Linked DNA regions of Cricetulus griseus. The protein of the gene in region 3 interacts with the protein of the main gene of each other region in a biochemical or structural test. Links are inferred from orthologs where the notes say so. Each region holds a gene or a part of one and is shown on either strand. Other genes may lie near its edges. The genes, in order: beta-1 adrenergic receptor, Sipa1l1, Dlg4, Tanc1, Net1, Kcna4 and Pkp4.

Evidence for each region.
Region 1: the proteins of Dlg4 (region 3) and beta-1 adrenergic receptor form a complex in vitro, tested with the Homo sapiens proteins (2 studies listed by BioGRID and IntAct, with this or other methods). The link is inferred for Cricetulus griseus from reciprocal best matches to the Homo sapiens genes DLG4 and ADRB1.
Region 2: the proteins of Dlg4 (region 3) and Sipa1l1 form a complex in vitro, tested with the Homo sapiens proteins (2 studies listed by BioGRID and IntAct, with this or other methods). The link is inferred for Cricetulus griseus from reciprocal best matches to the Homo sapiens genes DLG4 and SIPA1L1.
Region 4: the proteins of Dlg4 (region 3) and Tanc1 interact in a test that uses a peptide from one of them, tested with the Homo sapiens proteins (2 studies listed by IntAct, with this or other methods). The link is inferred for Cricetulus griseus from reciprocal best matches to the Homo sapiens genes DLG4 and TANC1.
Region 5: the proteins of Dlg4 (region 3) and Net1 interact in a biophysical measurement, tested with the Homo sapiens proteins (2 studies listed by IntAct, with this or other methods). The link is inferred for Cricetulus griseus from reciprocal best matches to the Homo sapiens genes DLG4 and NET1.
Region 6: the proteins of Dlg4 (region 3) and Kcna4 form a complex in vitro, tested with the Homo sapiens proteins (8 studies listed by BioGRID and IntAct, with this or other methods). The link is inferred for Cricetulus griseus from reciprocal best matches to the Homo sapiens genes DLG4 and KCNA4.
Region 7: the proteins of Dlg4 (region 3) and Pkp4 interact in a test that uses a peptide from one of them, tested with the Homo sapiens proteins (2 studies listed by IntAct, with this or other methods). The link is inferred for Cricetulus griseus from reciprocal best matches to the Homo sapiens genes DLG4 and PKP4.

What each region holds. Positions count from the first base shown.
Region 1 is NC_048596.1:4,713,453-4,716,801, reverse strand, and holds beta-1 adrenergic receptor, read left to right. Parts: upstream 1-1,448; coding exon 1,449-2,849; downstream 2,850-3,349. UniProt on the Homo sapiens protein: Beta-adrenergic receptors mediate the catecholamine-induced activation of adenylate cyclase through the action of G proteins. This receptor binds epinephrine and norepinephrine with approximately equal affinity.
Region 2 is NC_048598.1:121,315,936-121,319,435, forward strand, and holds part of Sipa1l1 (signal-induced proliferation-associated 1-like protein 1), read right to left. Parts: intron 467-3,500; coding exon 1-466.
Region 3 is NC_048600.1:83,889,557-83,893,728, reverse strand, and holds the end of Dlg4 (disks large homolog 4), read right to left. Parts: intron 4,104-4,172; coding exon 4,076-4,103; intron 3,942-4,075; coding exon 3,894-3,941; intron 3,818-3,893; coding exon 3,716-3,817; intron 3,411-3,715; coding exon 3,238-3,410; intron 2,341-3,237; coding exon 2,231-2,340; intron 1,721-2,230; coding exon 1,629-1,720; intron 1,433-1,628; coding exon 1,326-1,432; 3' UTR 501-1,325; downstream 1-500. UniProt on the Homo sapiens protein: Postsynaptic scaffolding protein that plays a critical role in synaptogenesis and synaptic plasticity by providing a platform for the postsynaptic clustering of crucial synaptic proteins.
Region 4 is NC_048599.1:115,043,385-115,046,884, forward strand, and holds part of Tanc1 (protein TANC1), read right to left. Parts: intron 3,066-3,500; coding exon 2,890-3,065; intron 1,732-2,889; coding exon 1,599-1,731; intron 1-1,598. UniProt on the Homo sapiens protein: May be a scaffold component in the postsynaptic density.
Region 5 is NC_048596.1:228,910,487-228,913,058, forward strand, and holds the end of Net1 (neuroepithelial cell-transforming gene 1 protein), read right to left. Parts: intron 2,401-2,572; coding exon 2,000-2,400; 3' UTR 501-1,999; downstream 1-500. UniProt on the Homo sapiens protein: Acts as a guanine nucleotide exchange factor (GEF) for RhoA GTPase. May be involved in activation of the SAPK/JNK pathway Stimulates genotoxic stress-induced RHOB activity in breast cancer cells leading to their cell death.
Region 6 is NC_048599.1:70,439,945-70,443,847, forward strand, and holds Kcna4 (potassium voltage-gated channel subfamily A member 4), read right to left. Parts: upstream 2,466-3,903; coding exon 501-2,465; downstream 1-500. UniProt on the Homo sapiens protein: Voltage-gated potassium channel that mediates transmembrane potassium transport in excitable membranes. Forms tetrameric potassium-selective channels through which potassium ions pass in accordance with their electrochemical gradient.
Region 7 is NC_048599.1:115,574,902-115,578,401, forward strand, and holds part of Pkp4 (plakophilin-4), read right to left. Parts: intron 1,197-3,500; coding exon 1,013-1,196; intron 1-1,012. UniProt on the Homo sapiens protein: Plays a role as a regulator of Rho activity during cytokinesis. May play a role in junctional plaques.

The DNA.
Region 1 (3,349 bases), on a different chromosome or scaffold from region 3:
CAACCAAAAGGAATAGCTCCTTGTGTTGACTCAGCTCGGATTATAAAACCCAATGGGCGCGACAGAGCACAAATGCAGGTGTCAAGGTGTTAAAATCAGAGCCAAAAACTCTGAAGCGTCATTCGGTGTGTCCTTTCTACGCGGGGTGGCGGCGGTGGTGTCATCTACTCTAGACTGCATGTTGCAAACTTCTCCTTCATACTCGGCACACACCGTGGCGTCATTCTCCTTGGCTGGGGTTGGGAGGTGTGTGTGTGTATGTGTGCGTGTGTGCGTGTGCGCGTGTGCGCGTGTGCGCGTGTGCGCGTGTGCGCGTGTGCGCGTGTGCGCGTGTGCGCGTGTGCGCGCGCGTGCGTGCGTGTGTGTGTGTGTGTGTGTGTGTGTGTGTGTGTGTGTGTGTGTGTGTGTGTCCAACTGGTCCCTGGCGTTGACTGTTAACACCCAGAAACCTTCACTTCCTTTCTCCATTGACTGGGCTTGAGTGACAGCACAGCTCTGAGCGAGAACAGCCAGAGAGCCTTTCTGACAGATGCGCGCTCTGCTCCAGCAACCGGCCTGGCTGGAAACTTTCCTCTAACCACGAACACCCACTTCCCATTCCCCCCAAGCTGTCAGGCTGGCCGGGTCCCCTCTCGAGCAGGGAAGGGCCAGGCTGCCTGATGGCAGAACCAGTCTCACAGCTAAACTCCTCCAACCCCAGCAGACAGGCTGTTCAAGGCACTGGGCGTCTTGAGAACGCCAACAAGATTCCCTCCTCGCTGCAGGGAACTCGGCAGAGGAGGCAGAGCGGCGCGGGAGCTGCGGGGCGCCGGTGGGAAGGAGGAGAGCTAGGGCGGGAGCCGCGCCGCGCCGAGGGAAAAAGAGAGCTGGTGCTGGGGCGAGCGGGGACCCCCTGGAGGGGGCGGGGACGCAGCAGACCCGACTCCGGTAGAAGCCTGCCGGAGCCGGAAAGGGCGCGCTCGCTGCAGCCGGTGGGTGCCGGGGAGATGCTGGCTCCGCAGTCCGCCCGGAATCTTTGGAGCGGCTCAATCGCGGGTAGGAGGGGGTGCCGGGTGTTGGGGGGTGGGGGCACCGTTGTCGGGGGCGTGCCTTGGCGGCGATTGGCTGCGGGAGCTTGACGCGCGGCCCCGGGGCTGGCTAGGGGGGTGGCAGCGGGGTGGGGTGTGGGGCCGGAGCTGTCGGCCCCGCGCGCTCAGAAACATGCTGAGGTCCCGGCGGCTCTTCCAGCAGCGGCAGCGGCTCCAGCAGCAGCGGCGGCGGCGGCGGCGGCGACAGCGCTCGGCTCCGGCGGAGAAGGCGCTCGGAGTCCATGCCTCCGGCCCCGAGCCGCGGCTGCCCTGACCTGGCCGCGACCTCCCGCGCGGGCCCCGCAGCCCCGGCTCCTGGGGTGTTCCCCAGCCGCGGCCCAGCCCCGCCACACCCCCCGCCCCCGGCCTCCGCAGCTCGGCATGGGCGCGGGGGCGCTCGCCCTGGGCGCCTCCGAACCCTGCAACCTGTCGTCGGCCGCGCCGCTGCCCGACGGCGCGGCCACCGCGGCGCGCCTGCTGGTGCTCGCGTCGCCGCCCGCCTCGCTGCTGCCTCCCACCAGCGAGGGCTCAGCGCCGCTGTCGCAGCCGTGGACTGCGGGCATGGGCCTCCTGCTGGCGCTCATCGTGCTGCTCATCGTGGCGGGCAACGTGCTGGTGATCGTGGCCATCGCCAAGACCCCGCGGCTGCAGACGCTCACCAACCTCTTCATCATGTCCCTGGCCAGCGCCGACCTGGTCATGGGGCTGCTGGTGGTGCCTTTCGGGGCCACCATCGTGGTGTGGGGCCGCTGGGAGTACGGCTCCTTCTTCTGCGAGCTCTGGACTTCGGTGGACGTGCTGTGTGTGACGGCCAGCATCGAGACCCTGTGTGTCATCGCCCTGGACCGCTACCTCGCCATCACGTCGCCCTTCCGCTACCAGAGCCTGCTGACGCGCGCGCGAGCGCGGGCCCTCGTGTGCACGGTGTGGGCCATCTCGGCTCTGGTGTCCTTCCTGCCCATCCTCATGCACTGGTGGCGGGCCGAGAGCGACGAGGCACGCCGCTGCTACAACGACCCCAAGTGCTGCGATTTCGTCACCAACCGGGCCTACGCCATCGCCTCGTCCGTCGTCTCCTTCTACGTGCCCCTGTGCATCATGGCCTTCGTGTACCTGCGGGTGTTCCGCGAGGCCCAGAAGCAGGTGAAGAAGATCGACAGTTGCGAGCGCCGCTTCCTCGGCGGCCCCGCTCGGCCGCCCTCACCCGCGCCCTCGCCGTCGCCAGGGCCGCCGCGCCCCGCAGACTCGCTGGCCAACGGGCGCTCCAGCAAGCGGCGGCCGTCGCGCCTCGTGGCCCTGCGCGAGCAGAAGGCGCTCAAGACGCTGGGCATCATCATGGGTGTGTTCACGCTCTGCTGGCTGCCCTTCTTCCTGGCCAACGTGGTGAAGGCCTTCCACCGCGACCTGGTGCCCGATCGCCTCTTCGTCTTCTTTAACTGGCTGGGCTACGCCAACTCGGCCTTCAACCCCATCATCTACTGCCGCAGCCCCGACTTCCGCAAGGCCTTCCAGCGCCTGCTCTGCTGCGCGCGCCGGGCCGTCCGCAGACGCCGCGCATCCCACGGGGACCGGCCGCGCGCCTCGGGCTGCCTGGCGGGAGCTGGGCCGCCGCCGTCCCCTGGAGCTCCCTCGGACGACGACGAAGACGATGCGGGGATCACGGCACCCGCGCGCCTGCTGGAGCCCTGGGCTGGCTGCAACGGCGGGGTGACGACTGTGGACAGCGATTCGAGCCTGGACGAGCCGGGGCGCCGGGACTTCTCCTCGGAATCCAAGGTGTAGAGAGCCAGGCTCTCCCGGCGGGCGCACGGACGCCGGCCCCACGGTCCCGGCCTGGACACAGGCTCCGCGTCCCTAGAGGAAGAGAGCTTGCCGGGCGCCCCTGAGCCGCTCCGCAGAGGAGGGAGGAGACCTCTGTTTACTCAAGACCGAAAGCAGGTGAACTCACAGATGAATCTGAATCATCCCAGACGTACAGCAAAGCCCCGGACCGTCCGCAGCGCAAAAAGGGAAGTTTGGGAGGAGTTGGGAGAGTGTGGCTTTCTGATTTGTCTTGGGTTCCTTTCTCTCTGGGGTTCGGCCTTTTGTGTGTTCTCGTGATACACCTTTAGCTTTTGTTTTTTGTTTTGTTTTGTTTTCCAGATGGGTTTTGACATTTTCTGCAAGGACCGGAGTGGAAACTAGGTGGGGAGGGTAAAGGGGGAATGAAGTCTACCACCTGGCTTCCGGTTCCACATCTAGGAACCTAAGTAGTCAGCTCCAGTTTGGGGTGCTGGTGGGAG
Region 2 (3,500 bases), on a different chromosome or scaffold from region 3:
CCACCCTATCACATCTCTGCAGGAACAATTGAAAGCCACACTCCTTGTTTCTTGATCAATGAGGACGATGAACTCATTGGAGATCCCGAGGAGGCAGTCGAATTCCATGGCCTTGTTGTAGTCTTTGGCCCGGACTGCCCACACAATGGCCCCCATACTACTGAGCTCAGCTCCTGGATAAGGCTTAGACTTTTCCTTCTTCTTGGATGCCAGAGAAATGAATGGAAATTTGCCAGAAGGGTCGATAGGTGTGTTGGTGACATTCTTTTCTGCCAGATCTTTCAGATATTCCTGGCGGGTCCTTGTTGCCATGGCCCGGAATTTTTCTGACTTATGAGCAGCATTTTCTGCATTAATCACTTTGGCCAAAAGGAAGTCCCTGAACACATTTGACTTGGGGAAAGTGACCCCTTTAGGGATGGGAGGTCCAAAAGAAGGCACATCTCTGGACCTGGTGACGGCCACGCTGAGAGACAAAGCAGGGAACAAAGATGGAGTGTGTGTCAGTATGTCTGTCTTCTATTACAACAAGGGAATAAAATGTGCTGTGACAAAGGGCTGGGGGTGTAGCTCGGCAGGAAAGCACCAGTGTAGCATGTGCATGCAAGACTCTGGGTTTGATCCCCAGTGCTAAAGGGAAGGGAGAAGCACTGGGAAAGGCAAAACAACTGCTCATTTTGTACAAGAAAGAACACAAAGGTCTGCTTAACGAGTGAACTTTTTCATTCAGGCTTTAGAGAATTCAGGTTTCTTTCCAGGCAGACCCTTTCTGTCTAAAAGCTTGAAAGTTAAAACCTCACTTCTTTAGCAGATGGGAGACTAGCTACAATGTCATCGTGGGGCAGGTGGCTTACTGTAATGTTCCACATAAGAGAATAAAAGCTACTTTAAATACCTACAGACTAATTCCAGTGGAGGATGTCATAATCACACAACCTTTCAGACAGAAAGTCTGTCAGAACACAAATGTGTCCTCCACTTTAGACAAGAAGGCTGCAGGCAAGACACAGCTCACCAGGGAAAAGTCAGAAGATACATGGCATGAGAAATGAGTGATTTCTCATCTCCATTTCTAATAATAAAGCTAACAGTATCTGTTGGCCCATGTGTGAGGCATCATGAGACCAGATTAACAGCATAACTTTAAAATAAAACCATTAATAGTAACTGTGATTTTTAGAGAATTGCCACAGTACTTGAAAATCCTGTTTTCAATTGAGCTATTCTTTGACCCAAATGTTCTGCTTTCCGTCTGTGATTCTTAAGGAACTCATTTCCCTTTCCCTGTTTCTTTAAGTCAGACTGACCTTAAAAAGCTTATTCCCATCACTCCCTTTGCATACACAGAGCTAAAAATTAGGCTCATGAAAAATGGCCATAAACACCTATGCTGATCTTCTAATTTTAATCTCAAAAAGAAAGATATTAAAATTTCCTGAAACAAGAGAAGCTGGGTAGAAATAGAGAGGCTGTATGTCACACATCAGTTCTCAAGATCACATGGTGCCCTCAGCCAGGGCTAAAAGTGATTGATGATCCCTCTCTCGGTGACTTAAAAGTGAGTCAGCCATGGCACTGCACTGTAAAATGTTTCCTCAGAATTGTCAAAAGAAAGGATATACCTGAGAGTGTGCTTTCAAAGTGAACTGAAGAATTCTACTTCATTTTCTTTACTTTAAAGTCTCGTCAGAGTCACACCTATAACCCCAGAACTCAGGCTATCCTGAGAGACACAGTGAGTTTCACAACAGCTACAGAATGAGACTCTGTCTCAGCCTCCCTCAAGTGGGATGGGGAGCCTCACTTTCGGATATTCAGCTGCTTTCAGAAAAATTTCTGTATCTTATAGAAATGGGATAAATAAACCTACAAGTGAAGATTTTATACTTAGAAATTATAGTTTGGTGGAATGGCAAAGCTACACTGTCAGGAGACACCTCGGATGGGATACATTATGATTTTTACAAGTTTATATTTAAAAACAAACAAACAAACAAAAAACACCACCAGCAGTCTCACCTTACGGCAAAGGGAGGTGTCAGCCAATACCCGTGTTCTAACTGCAGAAGTGAAGCCTCAGACTCCCCTGTGCATGCACTGGGATCTAATTACACACTATTACAAAGGCAGTTTTTCTTGTCAATGTGAACTGTCTGGCTTGAACACTGACAGCTGTGTAATTTTAATTTGATCATGTTTGCCTCCACCCCCCAACCCCCCTTCAGCCCTGAAGCCGAGCAGAAAATGCTGAAATCCAGGTTTGGTAGATTTTCTACAAGGAATCTGGTGAGGATCCAGAAATGTTTAATATCTTTCATTTTAAAATTGGCAATTTCTGTTCTTGCTAATTTCACTCAGAGCATTCTTCCTCAGGAAACAGCTGTGCTTTTATTTAACTAAGGAGGTGCACACGCTCAGCAGGGGTGTGATCGTGAGCACGTCTACTTGCCCTAAGCCCACAAGAGAATATAGATCTATTTATTAAGCGACAGAACTTTAGACAAACACACTCTGGCAACCCACCACTAATTAGAAGCTTCTAGAGCGAACTGTGAGAGAGAGAACCAAGTCTTTACTGTGTAATTATCCGTGATTCACCACAGATGGGAGTAAGTGATATAGACAGTAATCAGGTCTGCAATATTAGAAACAGAATCCTCAAGAAGGCGGTGAAGAAGATGGTAGCCTAGAAGGCACCTTTCAAATGGCTTTGTCTTAGACGCACTAACTTTCACAGCCCTGTCCTACAAGGTTAAAAAGCTCACGACACAGATACCATAGATGCTAAACTCACTATAGTAAGGCCTCATTTAAGCTAATTAGAACACTTGCCTCAATTCAAAAAGAAGTTTGTCTAGAATTTCTAAATATAGGTAGCTAAGATTACCTACAAATGGTTCTTGCTCTTTTAAAGGTGGGTTCCACAGGATCTCTTGTCAGCCACACTTACTTACAGTGCTGCATCTTGGCAATGATCTACCCTTTTCAAGCCTGCTCACCTGGCAGCATGGAGAGATGGGACTTGCCACCCAGGTGGGTGAGAGGCCAAGATGAGCTTAGAGACTGAAGCAGTTAGGGAAGGTCAGCACTAAAGGGGACTTTACAGAGGCTCTCACTCAGACTTCCATAAAATGGTGAGCTTCACCTCAAACTGGACTTCAATTTTACAAGGGAAATGTGTGTTCATTTTAGTCTATGGATATACTCTCCAAAGTCCTTGGAAACAACAGGGAGACCCAAAATGTATCTCCAGGTACAGGGGGCACAAATCTATCATTTTGCAGAAAACCACAATGATCATACACTGCAGGTGAAGAGTGTCAGGGCTGAAGTCAAGCTCTGAGCATTAACGACAGACCCCTGCCCACTCCACCCTCACCTCCAGGAAAGGACTCCAAACTTACCCTTTTCTCTCTTTGGTACCTGCTAAATGGGACCGTCTACACAGATCGCTGGGCCTAAGAGACCTCCAGCAGGCTTTATCTACTTGATCTGGACCA
Region 3 (4,172 bases):
GCACACCTCTGCCTGCAGGCCAACACGAGAGCTGCTCAGCACTTTATAACACAACAGACTTTGCCCATCTATGGCCACGCTCTGAGCCCTCTAAGATGGAGCCGAGCCCTAAGTTCAGCGAGTGAGGTATATGAAGTTTTTACGTTCTGTACATGACTCTGTACATTGGTTAATTCCAGACTACTGTAGTCAAGGAGCCTCGTACTTTTAGGAATAAATGTGCTGACCACAGGGATGAGGCCAGGAATGGTCAGGGACAAACTGAGTTCTCAGAATCAATGACAAGTCTGATGGTGACCGGCACAGCTCCAGCAATTCCCAGGCCTGTTCATTACCATCTCTGCTGCCCTGGCTTGATCACTCCTTCCCAGGACTCTTGTAAGCATTCTATTCTCGGTGAGGTAAGGAGGGATCTGAGGTTCTCTGACATGCCCCCATCCCAGGCCCCCACCTGTGTCTCTCCACTGCCCTCCCTCACCCCAAAGAACCAGGCCACACACTGGGTTTCAAGTATCTGTCTCTTCCTTTCACTCTCTCAAAAGAAAATAAATAAATAAATAAATTGCAGAAGGCGGCAGCATTTCCTGTCTTCCCCTGGCTCCCAGACACCCAACCCCTGACCCCTCGCCCCCCACCCCCTCCCATAGTCCCCACTCCCTAGACCCATCCCTCCCCTTTCCCCCAAAAAAAAGAAAAGAAAAAAAAGAGAAAAAATCCCAGAAATAAAAAAAAAAAAGCCACAGTTAGACCTTCCACTCATGCAAACCGGCAAAGAAAAAGGTGGGAGGCATGTGGAAGACAGGGAACCCACAGCAGAGTCCCTTACTTCTCCCCCCCAAAAACCACCTTTGAGAAGAAAACTGGAGAAAATAAATGAGAAATCAAATGACATGGGGAGTGATGATGGGGCAGGGGTGACCCCAGCCCCTGCCTCAGGAGAACGTGGAAGCCTGTGGCCCTGCATCCCCACAGCGGGTACTCCTTGAGAGGGGCCCTGACTTCTGGAATGTATGTGGGAGAAAATGGGGAGGGCAGAGGCCCCCAGTGGGTCTGTGTGTGCATGGGGGCGGCAGGGGTAGGGGTCCTAAGGAGCAGGGGCTCAGAACCAGGAGCCCAGCGCCCCCCAGGCCCCAGGTTCCCAGGGTCCAAGAGCCCTGTTTTGGGGTACAGGGATACATGCAGAGGAGTGTCCCCCCTCCAATGGGCTAGATCCAGTTAGAAAGGAAATAAATAAGAAGGGTGGGAAGGGGGGCTGGGCTATTCAGTCCAGACCAAGGGCCCAGGTGATGGAGGCAGGGCGAGTCCAGGCCAAGCCAGGGCAGGAATCACAGTCTCTCTCGGGCTGGGACCCAGATGTAGGGGCCTGAGAGGTCTTCAATGACGCGCTTCACTTTGTGGTAGATCTCCTCAAAGCTGTCGCCCTCCACGATGGCTGCCAGTGGGGTGGAGCAGGGAGTGAGGCCAAGGTCCCAAGGACACATGACCAAGGAGCCCAGAGCAAGGAGCACCTTCCACTCCTTCAGCCAGAAGCCCTGGTCCCTCGCCCACAGGCAGGATACCTCTTCCCACACCGCATCTCAGCAGACTGCCTGCACTCACGGCACACAGGGAAGTGGGTGGCCTCTCACCTGAGAAGCACTCTGTGAACTCCTGCTCCAGTTTAGTGGCTCTGTCAAAGGCTTTCCGGGCTTGCTCCTCTGTGATCCGCTTATTGATCTCTCTGTCAAGAGGGAGAGATGCAGATCTGAGGGGTGGGCCCCTCTCCGCATCTTTACCTCCTCCATCCTGGCATGCTAAGTTACTTCTTTTCCTTAGTCGGAGCACAAAGCAAACAACATAATTTCTGATATCCTCTGGGGCTGGCTACAAATGAGCTCCGGAAACCCACCCAATCCAGAACCTCTCTGGAAGCAATCCTTCCAGCCTTTAGCCCCACAGAAGGGATCCAGACTCCAACTTCCAACTGCCTCTGAGGTTCCGATTTGCCCCAGCCTGTGTATGCCCCAGGGGGCTACTGAGAACTGTAGTGAGTGCTGCCTGGCCCGAGGCAGGAGAAGTGGGGAGAGGCCTGCCATTGCTTCCAGTCCTGGCTCTCAACCTCAGTCCAGCTCTCTGAGCTCAGTGGGAATTGCTGTCCAAGGTTCTGAGAGGGCAGATCAATGTAGGGGCCTGGAGAGCCCGTGATCACAAGTGTAGGGAGCAGAGGGGAAGCCCCCAGGACCGTACTCACAGCACATTCTCCAGGGAACGGGGACGGATGAAGATGGCGATTGGGTGCAGGTGGGCCGCCTGCAGCCGCCGCACGGCATTGGCCGACACATCCAGGATACAGTGCTTTCCCTGGGGGCGGGGTGGGGGAGGGACCAGCAGGTAGCAGGGAAGGACAGACAGAGGTGCCAGGAAGAAACACAGAATATAGAAAAGGGGGGGCAGGAGGTTGGCCAAAGGGCAAGTGACAGATGTCAAAGGACATGTAAGCAACAGAACAGAAAGAGGTGTGGACAGAGTGACCAACACAGAGGAAAAAGAAATGGAAGATGCAGAAGCCAAGCACACAAGAGGGCAGAGAAGGGACGGAACAGAGTGTAGAAGACAGAGAGGACCCAAAAGATGAAGGAAGAGCAAGGGCAAGGGGGGCAAGTCAGGTGGTATGCACAAGGCAGACCAGGGCAGGTACGGAAAGGCAGTGAAAGAATTAGGATAGAGGGAGGAGGGAGAGGAGGACAGACAGAGGACAGACAGATGGAAGGAATGGGAGAGACAGATGGGAGGGAGGGGAGGCAGATGGAGGAAAGAACCACAGAGGGAGGGAAGGCAGGGTGGGGAGTAGTAGGGAAAAGGAGTTAAAGGAGGGGTGAGAGAAAGGGTAGTGGAGACCCCCCATTATAGGAGGGAGAAATGAGCAGAGGGGAGTCGGGAAGAAAGGAGGGAACAAGTTGGGGAAGGCCAAGCCACCAAAGGCAAAGCCCCAGGAAGACAGGAGAGATGGGGCAAGGAGTGGGAAGCAGAGGAGAGACGGGACAGATGGCAGTGCGGAGCGTGGGGTCAGGAAGCAAGGGGAGCAGGCCACAAAAGAGCAGGCGGTCAGAGTTGCCCGAGAGGAGAAGGAGGTGGAGGAGCGGAGTGCAGACCCAGCAGGGAAAGAGACAGAGAGAGAGAGAGTTAGAGAGAGCTGGAGGGAGGTGGTGGGGTAGGGAGGGGCAGGAGGAAGAGGATGCAGTGCCCACCAGCTCTCACCTGCTCTGCTACCTCTCGCACAGACTGGACACTGGTCCCGTAGAGGTGGCTGTTGTACTGGCCAGCCTCAATGAATTTGTGCGCCTGAATGTCCTTCTCCATTTTCTCCCGGGAGGAGACAAAGTGGTAATCCCGGCCATCTATCTCATATTCCCGCTTGGGACGCGTCGTATCTGCCAAGAAGTCATCCCACCCGACAAAGATCTAACCACCATCCCTTAATACTAGCCTACATCAACCAACCCCCCAGCCACCGGAGTACCCGGATGGTCCTTGGTAGGATGCTGCTGGGGACATTGAGACTAAGGCAAGACAGAATTTGCCACCCAGGGGCCTCCCAGACCCGGACCCAGCCTTGCCTGCTGGAAAACTGGGCAATCTGTGTCCCACTGTACTCAAGTACCATGGCCCCGACTAAGTAAGACTCCTTGGGCCCCCCAACTCCAACTCCATCTCTATGCAAGGCCATCGTACTCACGAGGGACACAGGATCCAAACTTGTCGGGGAACTCGGAGAGAAGGTCATCATTGGCACGGTCTTTGGTGGGCCCAAGGATAATGATGGGGCGAGCATAGTGCACTGAGAAGAAAGAGCCGGGCTTAGGCAGCAAGCAGAGTGGGCGGGCAGGACAGCTGAGGCTGGGGCTAGGGCTCACCTTCCATCTGCGTCACTGTCTCATAGCTCAGAACCGAGTCTTCTCGACCTAGTAGGAGACAGGGCATCTGCAACGGGCTCCAAGACAGGGGACCTGGAGACCACCTGGCCTGCTTTCCCGAGAATGTCAAGGGAAACTCCACGTTCCACTCATCCCACAGCTTTTCCAGTTTCCCTACCTACCCTGTGATCCAGAGCTGGAGCCCCAGTCCTAGAAGAAAAACCAATCTTATGGTAGGTTCAGAATTTAGCTCAGAAACCACCCCCACCACTTCACCAC
Region 4 (3,500 bases), on a different chromosome or scaffold from region 3:
ACAAAAGCTTATTCATCAATGCCCACAAATCCTTATTGCTCTACTAACAATGGTATCTCAAATGCTTGCCTTCCCCCAAGAAGGGGTCAAGTAAAAGCAATGAAGCCCTCAAAGGTATCTTCCTCACTCCCTGCAGCACCCAATATGGCAGGGGTGGGAGGCTGCTGTCCCCAAGGTCCCTGCACTCTGACCTTAGTTCGCTCTGGCTCTGAGGACCTAGCTTGCATCCCCTCTCCCATTCCTGTCCAGCTTTTCTTTTGGTCTAGACAGGTTATAGCCTTGTCACACACATGCAGCTCTGTCACTGCACAAGCACCTTGGGAGGCCACTGAGCTCCCTGTGTTTTGTGTTTGTTTTTCAAGTAAAAAGATGGAATTGCCACTACCTACATATAAGATCAAGATAAAAAAGGGAAACTGCTTAATACCGGGAAAAACCGTTTTCCATGTAGCCCCTTGTACCCAGAACTGCTCACGGTCAAAGAGCCTCCATAATAGCAAACCAAGACAGGGGCACTATAGTTCTTCCCTGTATACGTGCTGAATGCAAGTGATGCTCTACTAGACACATATGTGGGCCTCCACACAACCTGTAGCTAATTGCCCACTCTGCTCCAAGGACCTCCTCAATGTCTCCTTCAGGGGAATTGTGTGCACTGAGGTCCTAACTTTCTGTCTAGCTGTCACTGATAACTCTAGAACAGCAGCCGTTCTACAGAAACTACCCTGGGTTTTCCTATGCCTCGGATGCTCAGTGCGTCTGAAATTAAAGCAGAGCCTAACTGCAGGGATTAAATTTTTGAATGAGAATGGCCTCCATAGGCTCATACATTTGAGTGGTTGAGCACCAGTTGGTGGAACTGTTTGGGAAGGATTAGGAGGTGTGGTCTTATGGGAGGTTATGTGTCACAGGGTGGGCTTTGAGGCTTCAAAAGCCATTTTCATTCCCAGTTATCTCTCTGCCTCATGCTTGTCGATCAGACATGAGCTCTCAGCTACTGCTCTAGTACCTGCCTACTGCCATGCGCCCCACCACGATGGTCATGGAGTCAACCTTGGAACTCTAGTTCCTCAATTAACCCTTTCTTCTGTGAGTTTCCTTGGCCATGTTCCCATCACAGCAATAAAAAAACAAGATGCTAATACTTCCTGGTGTGAGTGTCCCTCTCCCACTTAGCCTTTGTTCTCTGCTTACCTGGAGAGAATGTTATAAGGTAAAGGCCAGCAAGATGGCTCAATGGTTGAAGGCATTTGCCTGCAAGGCTGGGGACCTGAGTTTAATCGCTGGGATCCATGTGGTTGGTAGAAGGAAAGAACTAACTCCCACCAACTGCCCTCTGACCTCTGTGTGCAGCTTGGATTGGCACACACAAATAAAATGTCATTTTTTTTTTTTTTTTTAAGAAGAAAATCAAAAGCAACTTCAGTTTTCTGGATGACTGGGATTAAATGAGACATAAGACAGAGCAGAGCAGGAGGCAGAGAGAAAGAGAGAGTGAGCACACACTGCCAGCCGCCCAGCAGGTAATCTTTAGTCCTTACAGGCAAGGCTCTGAAGCCTAATCTCTGGCCCTGCTGACAGAAGTGGGGTTCACTGACCTAGTTTGGCTCCTTTCCTAAGCAGCGTAACCACCACAGCGGTGTTCCGACAACCGATGGCTCTGTCCAGGGGGCGCATCCCACTGTGGTCCACGTGCTCGATCACAGCTCCCTTCTCCACCAGATACAGCACCTGTAAGCAGCAGGGGCAGAACAAACTTGAGGAGCAGTCCCTGGCTGAAGGAGGGCGGATCTTCCTGTCACGCAGTGTCAAATGGAAAGAAAACCGATGTGACACCAAGGAAAGGAGGGAGCTAAAGCCCATGGCTAGACTCTCTCTGCTGAGGTGACTCTGCTACCAGTGATGAGGAAGGCAAGCCGACGGGTACAGACAGGTGTGAGCGGAAATACATGACCTGTATCTGACCCCACTCACAAGGCCACAGACAGGACTCGTGGTCACCTTTTCACCTGCAACTAGCAGGGAGGCTTCTGCAATGAGCTCAGGCGTGCTCCAGACACACAGATTCACAGTGTGGGGGGACAAGCTGCAGACATGAGCAGCCTGGAGCCAGGTGGGCCAGCATCATTCACTTTAGGGTTTAAGAAAGAGATGACACTGTTAGGACTGTGAAGATGGTGTGTCTGAGGTCACGGTATAACAGCTGGGCATGATGAAATAGCTGCATGTACTCAACATAGGCAATGCTAAGAAAAAAACTACTTTACGTCCAGCTTAGATGGTTGTGTGAATGCAACTGGACATATTTCCTACCAATCTACTGGGAATTCAAAACGACACTAGAGGTTACTATCCAGAATATAAAAAGAGACCCAAGTAGCTCAATGATGCTCTGGTTTGGAATGTACATCCTGACAGAGCATGGCATCTGCCCTGGCAGACATCTCCCAATTCTCAGTTTACAAATTAAAATTATAACTTAAAACAATTAGTATATTCTAAATTAACTATATGTTTAATTAATATTTTTCTTCAGGGAAAGTGGTTTCTGAATGGCCTATGCAGGGATTTTATTTATATGAAGCACATGATAAAAATAAAGCTACAAAGAGGCATGCATGTTCAACTCCATGTCTGCAGTGTATATACAATTGGTAGGGGTAGGGCTTTTGGGCTTGGAAGAGTGCATAAAAACCTTGACTAACAGTCTCAGATTGGACTGCATACAACAGAGTTATAGACAATTGAAAAGATTGCACACACACAGAGGCCACAATCAAGACAGCTTCACAGAGCCTAGACATCAGAGCAGGCCCTTCTTTCCATCATCCCTATCCTGCACACAGGAAAAGGCCCACACACCGGCAATGAACATCTGTTAGTACGCACCGTTTCTGCATCACCATAGAAGGCAGCCAGGTCCAAGGGAGTGCGGCCATTTTTGTCTGTCTGATCTATCTCAGCTCCTTCTTCAACTAGGTACTGGACCACAGCCCTGTGACCCTTCAGACATGCCCAACTCAATGCTGACAGGCCCTCTTTGTCCAGGGAAGAAAGAGCAGCACCTGAGAGAAAAGTCCATTTATAGCTGGTTGGCAGACATGAAGATGTTCTAAAGAGACACTGTGTTTCCCAATCTCACTATCAGACTGTTGAAAAATGGATCCCAAAGAATGAGATTTTCCCCAAGCATCTCACACTGAGAGAAGGAAAATGCACCAGCCAGAGAGAGAACTTATTTCCCAAAAAGAGATTTCCCAGTTTTAACAACTTGTTAGGTCAGCTAACAGGACAAGATGGAAGCCCAGACAATGATGGGCCAATGGCATGTGAGACCACATCTTGACGAGAACTGATTAGATGTTCATGTCCTTGGCCTTTAAGTGAAACTCTGATTTCACTTCAGGACCCCAAAGATGGACTTGAAGAGGCTGCAGAACCTTTTGTCCCTCCTCCCAGTGTGGTCACACTGAGTAAATTTCCTTTGTCTACTTTCTACT
Region 5 (2,572 bases), on a different chromosome or scaffold from region 3:
AAATCTGTATTCAGAAATTCTAGCTTCTTCCAGATCTTGGGAGATTCATATTCTAGTATATTACTCTTATGGGAACTAGGTTCTCTGGACAAAGGGACAATAGGTTTGTAGGCTAAGCTATCATCTTAGCTTAACATCTGAAAATAAGTATTGTGTTGGATCTGCATTCTCAAAACATTAAACACAAAACAGACTTAGGTAGCCCAGAAATTACCCAACACCCATCAGGTCAATAAAATGTCTTTTAATTGATTGCTGGGTGACCTGGTGATGCTGTGATTACAACTGCTGCTGGATAACTGGTTTTCATTACCACTTTGTGTTCACATATCCTGACAGAGTGCTGAGCACCTAGGAAGGGATCATCCTTATAGTAAGAGAACTCACCGGAAGCAGCTAAGCAGCTAAAAAGCAATGCAAGAGGACAGATATTAACATAAGCTAAACCCTCATGTTCCAGTGGATGCCCTCCTCCCCTCCAATATCAACCAGGCAAGAAATGTTTTGGGTTATTATGTGTGTGCTTTTTTTTAATTGTATAATTCATTTATACAAAGAAATCACTTGATTGATCTATTTACAGCCTTTTCCAATTTTCATTTTCACTGGAGATATATTTCACACGATGGGTAACAATGACTTGAACTGATGGCCAGTATAAATCTGGGCTGACACGGGATCTCAGTCCTCCTCCCTCCTTTAAAGAGCATGACCCCATTTCTAACACAAACATTTTGGAGTGAAGAATCACCAGCTTCATTTTTTTTAATGAAGAAAACCAATCAGAATTAACCTAATATGTTCAAATTTCCAACACATTTTACGGTTTCTTTTCAAATTCAGTATTTGCAGGCATGAGAAACCAAAGCAAATATAGTTCCCACCCCCTCTGGCCTTCTACAACTTCCTACATACCCTCAAGTCAGGCTTTCCTGTCTCCACTCCTCTGGATCAACCAGACATTTTTACCTTAGACAAACTCCCTTTTCCCTTCCCTTCTCTTCACTATTCCAGTCTCCTGCCTTCTCTCTTGCTTTCTAGACAACACAAAAACTTTCACCAAAGTCCTTCATGTGGTTTCTTCCAGTAGTCTAGAATATACTAAGTCATCTCATGGGTCTTCACTACCCTGACATGATACACTGTAAAAACTGCAGTTTTCTTAATTGGCTCAACAGTATGGCTTGGTTTCACTTAGTAAAACTAATACGATTAACACACACATACACACACACACACACACACACACACACACACACACACACAAAATCAGGAAGAAAAACTTTAAGGACATGCCAATTTAAAAAAGGCATCAACGTAAAAAAATAAAAGAAAATTCTAAAAACTACTTTACAATAAAAAATTAAATAGTTGGCAGAATAAATGAATGAAAAATGAGGAATGTGCAGTGAAAAACTGATCTAAGGCATTCCAGTTGATAAAAATGGAAAACACACTGAGTTTTATGGTTGTTTTCCAATGAAGTGGTGCTTCACTGTAAATTGAAGTATTTCAAACTCAAAAATCTTCCATGTAGATTGTAGATGTCATTATTAAAATTTCATTCATCATTTGAGGTTTAACAAGGAACACTGATAGAATTTCAGCATTAACAAAACTTTAAGTTTGGGAAATACTGCAAATATCACATTTGTTTGGAATTGGAAAGTCATGGTGAACCCAGTCAGGACAACGCTGGTTTCACACATATTCCTTCTGATAAAAAATACCAGGTGGGTATGTTCCAAATAGTCTATGAAAATACCTCTTTAAAGTCTGCAATTTAACAGTAATCTGTATATCTTTAGCTGCCATTAACAACAATGACGACGACAACAATAACAAGGGGGGGAGGGAGGAGGAAGAGAAAGAGAGAGAGAGAAACCCAAACCATGAACACATTACAGCTGGTACAGAGTAACCCTAGGATGCTCCCATTACAAGAAAAATAAAAACTGTACAAATTTATAAATAAACAGCCTTCCACCAGAGAACACATTTACACCAGAGTCTCTTTCCTGTTGCCACCTGACTGGGCTTTGTCCCTTGCTCTTCGTAAGCCAGGCTGCACTCGATGTGCCTTCATGCTCTTGGTGTCTTCTGCTGTCTGTACACTGGAGCCACATTCCAGTGCACTTTCATCATCTCCCTGTGTAAACCCGGGAGCCATGGATGACCTTCGCTGGGCTGGGAGATTCCCAGCACTGGGGTTGTTCTCACACTCTTCGTGGAGCTCTGGTAAGCCCTGCAGCTCTAGGGGGCTGGCAGCCCGCTGGAAAGGGGCAATGGCAGTACGAATACAGTTGAACCACTGCTGCTTATGGAACACGTCATTGGCTTGCAGTGTGTGGGACTGGCCTGGAGAGGGGTCTTGGAAGCGGACTCTAAAGATATTTTTAGCTGAAGGAAGAAAAAAGGAATCAAGACTAAGAACGTGCTCATACAGTCTTAAGGAAAGTTCTAGTACTTAAGTGACATACACACTCTCTTAAAGACAGTCACTAGCCAGAGGTCCCTATCAACTCCCTTTTGTGGCAATCCATGACTGGGGAATGGTTTTATTCTTAAAATT
Region 6 (3,903 bases), on a different chromosome or scaffold from region 3:
CCAAAGACATAGGAGATGTTATTAAAACACTGATAAAAGACTGCTCAAATTCATCAGTTCTTACATAGTAAATACTTCAGAATGCCAACTTTTCCAATCACAGCACAATTCCCAACAATGTTGACAATTTACTTACACACCCGTGTGCACACACACTCTAACACACACACACACTCTAACACACACACACACACACACACACACACACTCCTCAGGACCATCTTTACTATTAACATCTTTTCCCATTATGTGCAAAATTCTTGCATTCTATTAAAAAATATAAAGATAAATCTGCTCTATTTAAGCCTCCCTCTTCTCCAAGATGTATCATTTATTTGATATGCAATACAAATTTAGTCACAATTATGCCGTGTATTACCATTAAACAGTGTACTACTGTATGCAGTGCAATCATTTGCATATTTCATTTTCATAACTGCACTCTCTATGCATGAATATATTTGGAGATGTGGGGAGCAGTGGCAGGTGGAGAAAGCGCTTCACACATCGGTCTCCACCGCTTTTGCGTTAGAACAGTTGTTTTTATCTGTCTCGCTATCATCCCCCTTTCCCTGACACTTCTCTTCCCTTCCACACAAAGATTCCTTGACCCCTTCTTCCATCTCTAGATACTCTGACTTGTCCCCTAGGGATGAAGAAGTTGAACTCCGAAATTTCTTGAGCAAATTAGAAGGGAGGTATGGGCAACTGACTGCATTTTGTGTCAGCTGGGTCTGTTCCTCATTTTCAGTCTCTCTGTGGTAGAAATAGTTAAAGTTAGACACAATCACCGGCACAGGCAAAGCAATGGTTAAGACACCCGCAATGGCACACAGGGACCCCACAATCTTTCCTCCCACTGTGATGGGCTTCATGTCCCCATAGCCCACAGTTGTCATGGTTACCACAGCCCACCAAAACGCATCCGGGATGCTTTGGAAATGGGTAGTGGGTTCATCTGCCTCTGCAAAATACACAGCACTGGAAAAGAGAATGACCCCAATGAAGAGGAAAAAGATCAGAAGGCCCAGTTCCCGCATGCTGGCTCTGAGGGTGTGGCCCAGGATCTGCAGGCCTTTGGAGTGTCTGGAGAGTTTGAAGATCCGGAATACTCGAACTAGACGAATGATCCTGAGGATGGCAAAGGACATGGCCTGCTGCTGCTGACCATTGCCACCTCCTTGCTGCTGGGCCAGATCAGTGCCCAGAGTGATGAAGTAAGGCAAAATGGAGACGATATCAATGATGTTCATGATGTTTTTGAAGAAGAGAGCTTGGCTGGGACAAGCAAAGCATCGAACCACGAACTCAAAGGAAAACCACACAATACACACTGTCTCCACGATGAAGAAAGGGTCATTGAATATTGTGTGCCCTGAGTTGTCCAGGTGGGGTGCCGATGTGTCATTCAACAACCTGCTGTGCCCACCTGCACTCAGGGCCATGATGAGATCCCTATCATCCCGGAACTCTGGCAAGGTTTCCAGGCAAAAAATGACAATGGAGATTAAGATGACCAGGACAGATACAATGGCTATGCCCCTGGCAGGGCTAGAACTCTCCGGATATTCAAAGAGAAGCCAAATCTGTTTTTTAAATTCGTTCTCTGGCAGAGCCCTGTCCTCCTCTTCTCTCACAAAGCCCTCATCCTCCCGGAACTTGAGCAGGGCTTCCTCTCCCAACTGATAGAACTTCACCTCCTCAGTGAAGATATCAAAGGGCACATTGACTGGCCTCTTCAGACGGCCTCCTGACTGGTAATAATATAAAATGGCGTCAAAGCTGGGTCGGTTCCTATCAAAAAAATACTCATTGCGCAAAGGGTCGAAGTACTGAGTCCTCTTCTCAGGGTCTCCCAGCAGAGTTTCTGGAAACTGGGCCAAAGTTTTCATTTGGGTTTCAAAGCGTAGACCGGACACATTTATCACCACACGTTCACAGCAGTCACTGTAGCGGACTGAACTGTAGCCACCACCACCTCCATCATCCTGTGGCAGCAGGTCTGTGTACGAACACCCATCCCCATGGTCATCTTCACTATAGTAAAACCTTCCCTCCTCTTCCTCCTCTTCTTCCTCCTCCTCGTCTTCCTCTTCCTCACTCAGCTCCCTCAGGATCTTCTCTTCAGAGCCACTGGGCATCAGGTCTGAGCAATGAGGAAAACTGCTCTGCCGATGGTGGAGTTTCTTCTTTTCAGTTCGCTGACGCCTCCTCCTCCGACTACCTCGGCTACCTTGAGGATCATGGGAGGAGTAGGCCCCACGCATCTGGTGGTGATGGTGGGGACCGCCACCAGAACCCCCAGTACCTTCCACAGCAGCCGTGGCAGCTGCCACAGCAGCAGCTGCAGCTGCCCTGGAGTGAGCAAGTCTCTCCCGCTCACGGGCCCGGGCCTGGGCGGCATAACCATAAGGCATATGACTGTTGCACCCTGAGCTCTCTGCACTCACCATTGCAACCTCCATGGTGGTGGTTTTGGGAAATGGCTAGTTCCAGTTGTAAGAGAAGAAGAAAGAAAAATAGGGCAGCTTATTTTCTTACCAAATTAAGGTAAGTTTGGAAGCCTTAAGCAGATTGCCTGGAAGACTTAGGATATTTTCAGTACAACTTTGCATTTTCTGTTTTTAAATCAGCACACCCCATGCTCCTTCTTCTCAGAGATTCAGCGTTGCTTTCCAGAGCTTGGCTAGTCTAGACAACAGCCTAGTGCTCCTCAAACATAAGTCATGAAATGTTGCGGTCTCCCAAACACCTACGTGTTTTGGGGTAGATGTTCAAATCTGGAAGTATGTCTGGGATGCGCTGGGTGATGACGCTACAAGACTCAAAGGCAGCAAGTATCTGACAGCCAGAAGTTGTGCCTAGAAAATGAAATATAATTTTCTGCATGGAAATTGTCCAAAACCCAGTCCATCCAATTTAAATAAAATGCAAATAAGTCTTTAGTCTTAGCACTTGCCGTGTAGTGTTGGCTTGACCCATGTTAAGATGTGCCTTAGAATATGTCCAACCATTGCTGCTCAGTCTATGAGGAAGATTTCCCAGGCTCTCTCTAAGATCATCAAAGGCTTCATGGACCCACAGACAACGCCAAGTGGTAGATAGAGGCAAAGACCTTGGAAGGCAGAGAGGGTGGAAGATGAGGCTCCAGCAGAGGCAAATCCAGCTCTGAGGTCTCCATAGAAATCAGGAAATGAAGAACATTCTTTGGCTAACTCATTCAGAAGAAGCACTTCACCTGAGGAGGGGTGGGAAACAAGCACAGGAGAAAAATAAAAAGAAGCAAAGCATAGAGAGCAAACAGCCCTTTACTCTACACGCACGGCTTCTCTTGTCCTCAGGCCAATTGGGAGGCACACACCAGGAGACCATAACTTTTCAAGAGCACAGGGCAGGCTGCTCTAAAATCTCTCCCACTCAACATCCATCTTGCTTTCTTCTTTGTTTATTAGTTCAGCTCCGTCTATTTTTTTTTTTTGTGGCAACTCATTTGCTTCTGTCCATTCTCAACCCACATGGTTCTTGCTTTTCTCTGCCCCTTCACCAATGCCAGGTTTTAATTCTCACTAGCATCCTCTTCATTCCACAACAGCAATGCTGTGAGTTTACAGCTGTTTCCATTATTCATTTATCTCAAGGAATTCTCTTTCAATTTTTTCACTCATAAAATGTTGCTGAATTAAGCACCCTTAAAAAAACAATTTTCTTCAGTTTAGATTCAAACTACTTGAATGAACATCAGTTACCTCATCTATAAAGTGTAAACAAGAGAATCCATTCCCTCCACTCCACCTTTGGAAGGACCAACTGAGATCATGGATGCTATTAGGATAGCACACTATCTTGCATATAATGAATGGCAATGAATATGACAGTTATGGATAACACAGCATTAAACTGTAT
Region 7 (3,500 bases), on a different chromosome or scaffold from region 3:
ATTACAGCAGGTCGTGCAAGAGCCAGCCAATGCTGTACCCTGATGTGGGTACTCACTGCCTAAGGGGTTGAGGAGTGGGGGGGGGGTGCGGTGGGGGCGGATCACACATCCCTGGATCTAGGGTGGGGGATGGAATGCTGTTTCCTGATGACCACAGGCTAAATATCCCACCCAGGACCAGTGACACAAGTGCCTTCTGTCACAGTGCAGAAGGCTTTGGAAGAGTAGCACAGGTCCTCTCCCTGTGGCTCCAACTCTCTGCCCCAGAGGTGCTTAGATGTTTTATTTTTGCTATTCCTTTCAGGGTTGGGACTTGAACTCAGGGCCCTGTGCCCTACAGTACTATCACCTCTATTTTGTAGATGAACACTAAAGCTCACAGTGGAACAGGAAAGCTGGGCTCTGCAGGTCCCCCTGCCATTCTGCCAAGGCTTCTGTTTCATGTGCCTAGAGCAACAGGAGGCTGGGGAACAGGGCCACATGTAAGTGGCTAAGCAAACAAGGAGCTGTTCTGAAAACATAAAAGAATCACAGATTTTATGTTAAAGGTAATGACTAATGAACAGCATTTGGGCTCGCTTATTTATAGAACTCAAAAGCAATAGCTGTTTAAGCCACACAACTCCACTTCTCTTTAAAAGTAACAAAACAAACCTGAACTTCAGTGACCATAATTGGAACTGAAACAAAAACCAGGCCATACCAGGTCTGTAATAAGTCTGTAATAGTCAGAAAAAAGGCAACTACAGTAGAAAATGCTGGATTGCTGCAGTGCCCTCAGACTAACAGACCTTCTAAAATAATTCACAGAAGAGTCACATGTGAGACAGTTGCCTTGGGCCACCAGCCTGTGCTCACTGTGTTTCCTCACACAGTGACAAATTCCACACTTTGCTATGAAGGAGAACCATCACTTTCTGGATGTGTAGCCAGAGAGCAGCACCGTCTATAGCCGATTTACTTATGACACACATTCTTTAATCACGTAACTAATTGGGAAGAAAGTACTCACCTCAGGCAACCTGTCGTGTTCCGCAGAACCAGCGAGGTCTGAAACTTAATTTTATGATCATCATCAAAGGAAGAGTTATTCCACCCAGAATGTGGAACGATCACAGTGTTCGTTAAGGTTGAGAGAGCATCTCGAATGATTGTCATCTTTACAGCATCGCATGACGATAAATTCCAAAGAACTCCTAAAAAAGAGAAATTTCAAGTAAAAATGATCAGATTCTGCAGCTTTAAGACTGAAACAATCACAGGAGCTCTAACCTCCGGGAGCCCAACCTGCTTCCCACATCTATGCTCCACATTTGCCACTGACCTGGGATGGACCTGTGCTAAGTGCTGGACACACACATGCTGGCTTTTACAGCGTATTTCAAAGTCTCAAGACTCAGCTTTCCAATTTTAGAGCCCCATTCATCTATTAGGCAACTGTGGGCAAAGTAACTATTCCCAGGGGGAGGGTGACACAGGGAAGTAACCCAAGTACAAGGGTCATAAATACAACATGCCTGTGAGCTTCATAGAGCTTGCTTGTCTTGCATTGTCCCTTACACTCAATGGCTGATATGACAAGCTTCCAGAATTTATGACTTAGACAAAATTTCTTTTCCCCAAAAGATTGGCATATTTCTCATTAAGCCTCCTTTCTAGTATTTTTTTTTTTTTCAATTTTCACTTCGTTAGTGGGAAGCCCAGCTTTAACAGAGTTCCTGGAAATACAGTGTAGTATAGCATCCTACAGTAACCAGGAGCATGAAGGGTCATTGTATTTGCCTCATTCTCCTCTTTAAAGAGTTTTATTGCCATGTGATTGAGAAGTGCAAGTACTGCCATTCCCTTTTTCATATAGGAGAAAGTAATAAATGAAGTGTGCTAATGCACTGCCATAACTCCTTATGATTCATAGAAAAATGGGAACGAATCTGAGAGGTGGCTTGTTTTGCCCAGAAGTCTCTCAGGGCCCCACACTCCTGATGCTTGTGACAAGCTTCTCCAAAGGCTTCACAGAACCGTCAGCACTGGACACTTGTGGGCCTGTGGAGAGAAGGGACTGACAATGTCTGCCTTTGTCTATGGGCCTCTGAACAGAACTCATCAAGCACTGGGCCAGACAAGACTGAACACTGCTGCTCCAAATGCTGTGACCCAAGGAGCCAGCCTGGAGCCAGCCTGAGCAGCCTTCTCTGGATGTAAATTACGAGGGGAGGTAGCAAGCAGACAGCAGCTTTTGTCTCTGTGGGAGGAGAGGAGAAAGCAAAGGACAGCAGAAGAGTAAAGAACAGACCCCGAATGTATGCCCAAGGGCTGCCTTCGCTGCAATCCCTATGCTATAAAGATGTGGTCAATAATGGAGACTGATGCTGTGTGTGTTTTGCTCTGCCTCTGTGCCTACTCCTCTCCTCTTTGATTTCTTGACCTCATTAATTTGGTTTCTCCTCCTACCTTCCCCAAAGACTTCATTCTGAGCACAGTCTCTCAGAACTTTATCTTGCATGGTGCCCATTTAGTTGGATCCTGGCTAGTTCTCCTTTAAGAAGGGTGGTTTGGTATAAAAGGGAGATTTAGACAATTCAGAATCTGGAAGATAAATGCCTTGCTTTGTTTCTGAAAGCTGATTCTTCTCACTATGACCTTTGTTCACATACATAACTGTATCAAGGCATACAGACACAAGGTTGTACTGAGAAATCTGCACAGATGTGCATGGGTGCTTAGGAATAGAAACTCAATTCCACTGTCAGAGTTACTTCTCTATGGAGTGTTTTGGGGCAGTGGTTGGGGTCTGGGGGCGGGGGTTTGGCCAGATTGTCATAGCTGGGAAAGAACTGACTCTGAATATGAATGATCACATTTATCTTTGCTCCATAGTGGCCTTCACTGTATTTCTTTTCCCATGTAAGACATTAGCTGGACATTTTCTTAGGGAGAATCATTAGAAGACAATGATAGATAAGAACTGAGAGTCAGTTCTTGGTTGGTCTGTGCTGACCAAGGAACAAGAGAAAAGGAAGGAGACAGAAGAGTGGCTTGAGGCATAGCAGGGTGGGGTAAAGGCTTTAACAGTCCCTGTTAATGAAATCATCATACCGAACCCAGAGTGCTAGTTGTGACTACCCAGGAACACGAGCCAGCCACAGTGGCAGCACACAGCTCCCTGGCTATTGATGGGGAAAATGGTATTACCCAGAAACCATCCCCGCTGACAATCTTGGAGCATGTGATTCCTAACATGACTGCTGCAATTCTCTTTCTGTCAAAGCCTTTCACATTCCTCATTTCACAAAGTACAAATCCTGGGACAGCTTCGTTTTCCAATAAGCTACTTCCTTCTTCACAGAATAAATGCAGTCTAGTCAAGTTAACTACAAGGCACAGTTTATGCAAAGCAACAGCCATCATATCAGAGGCTGTAAGTATGAAATCAGATGTACAGTTTGCCACTCACTATCTATGGGGGTGGGGAGTGGGGGTAGGACAGATGGACAATGACG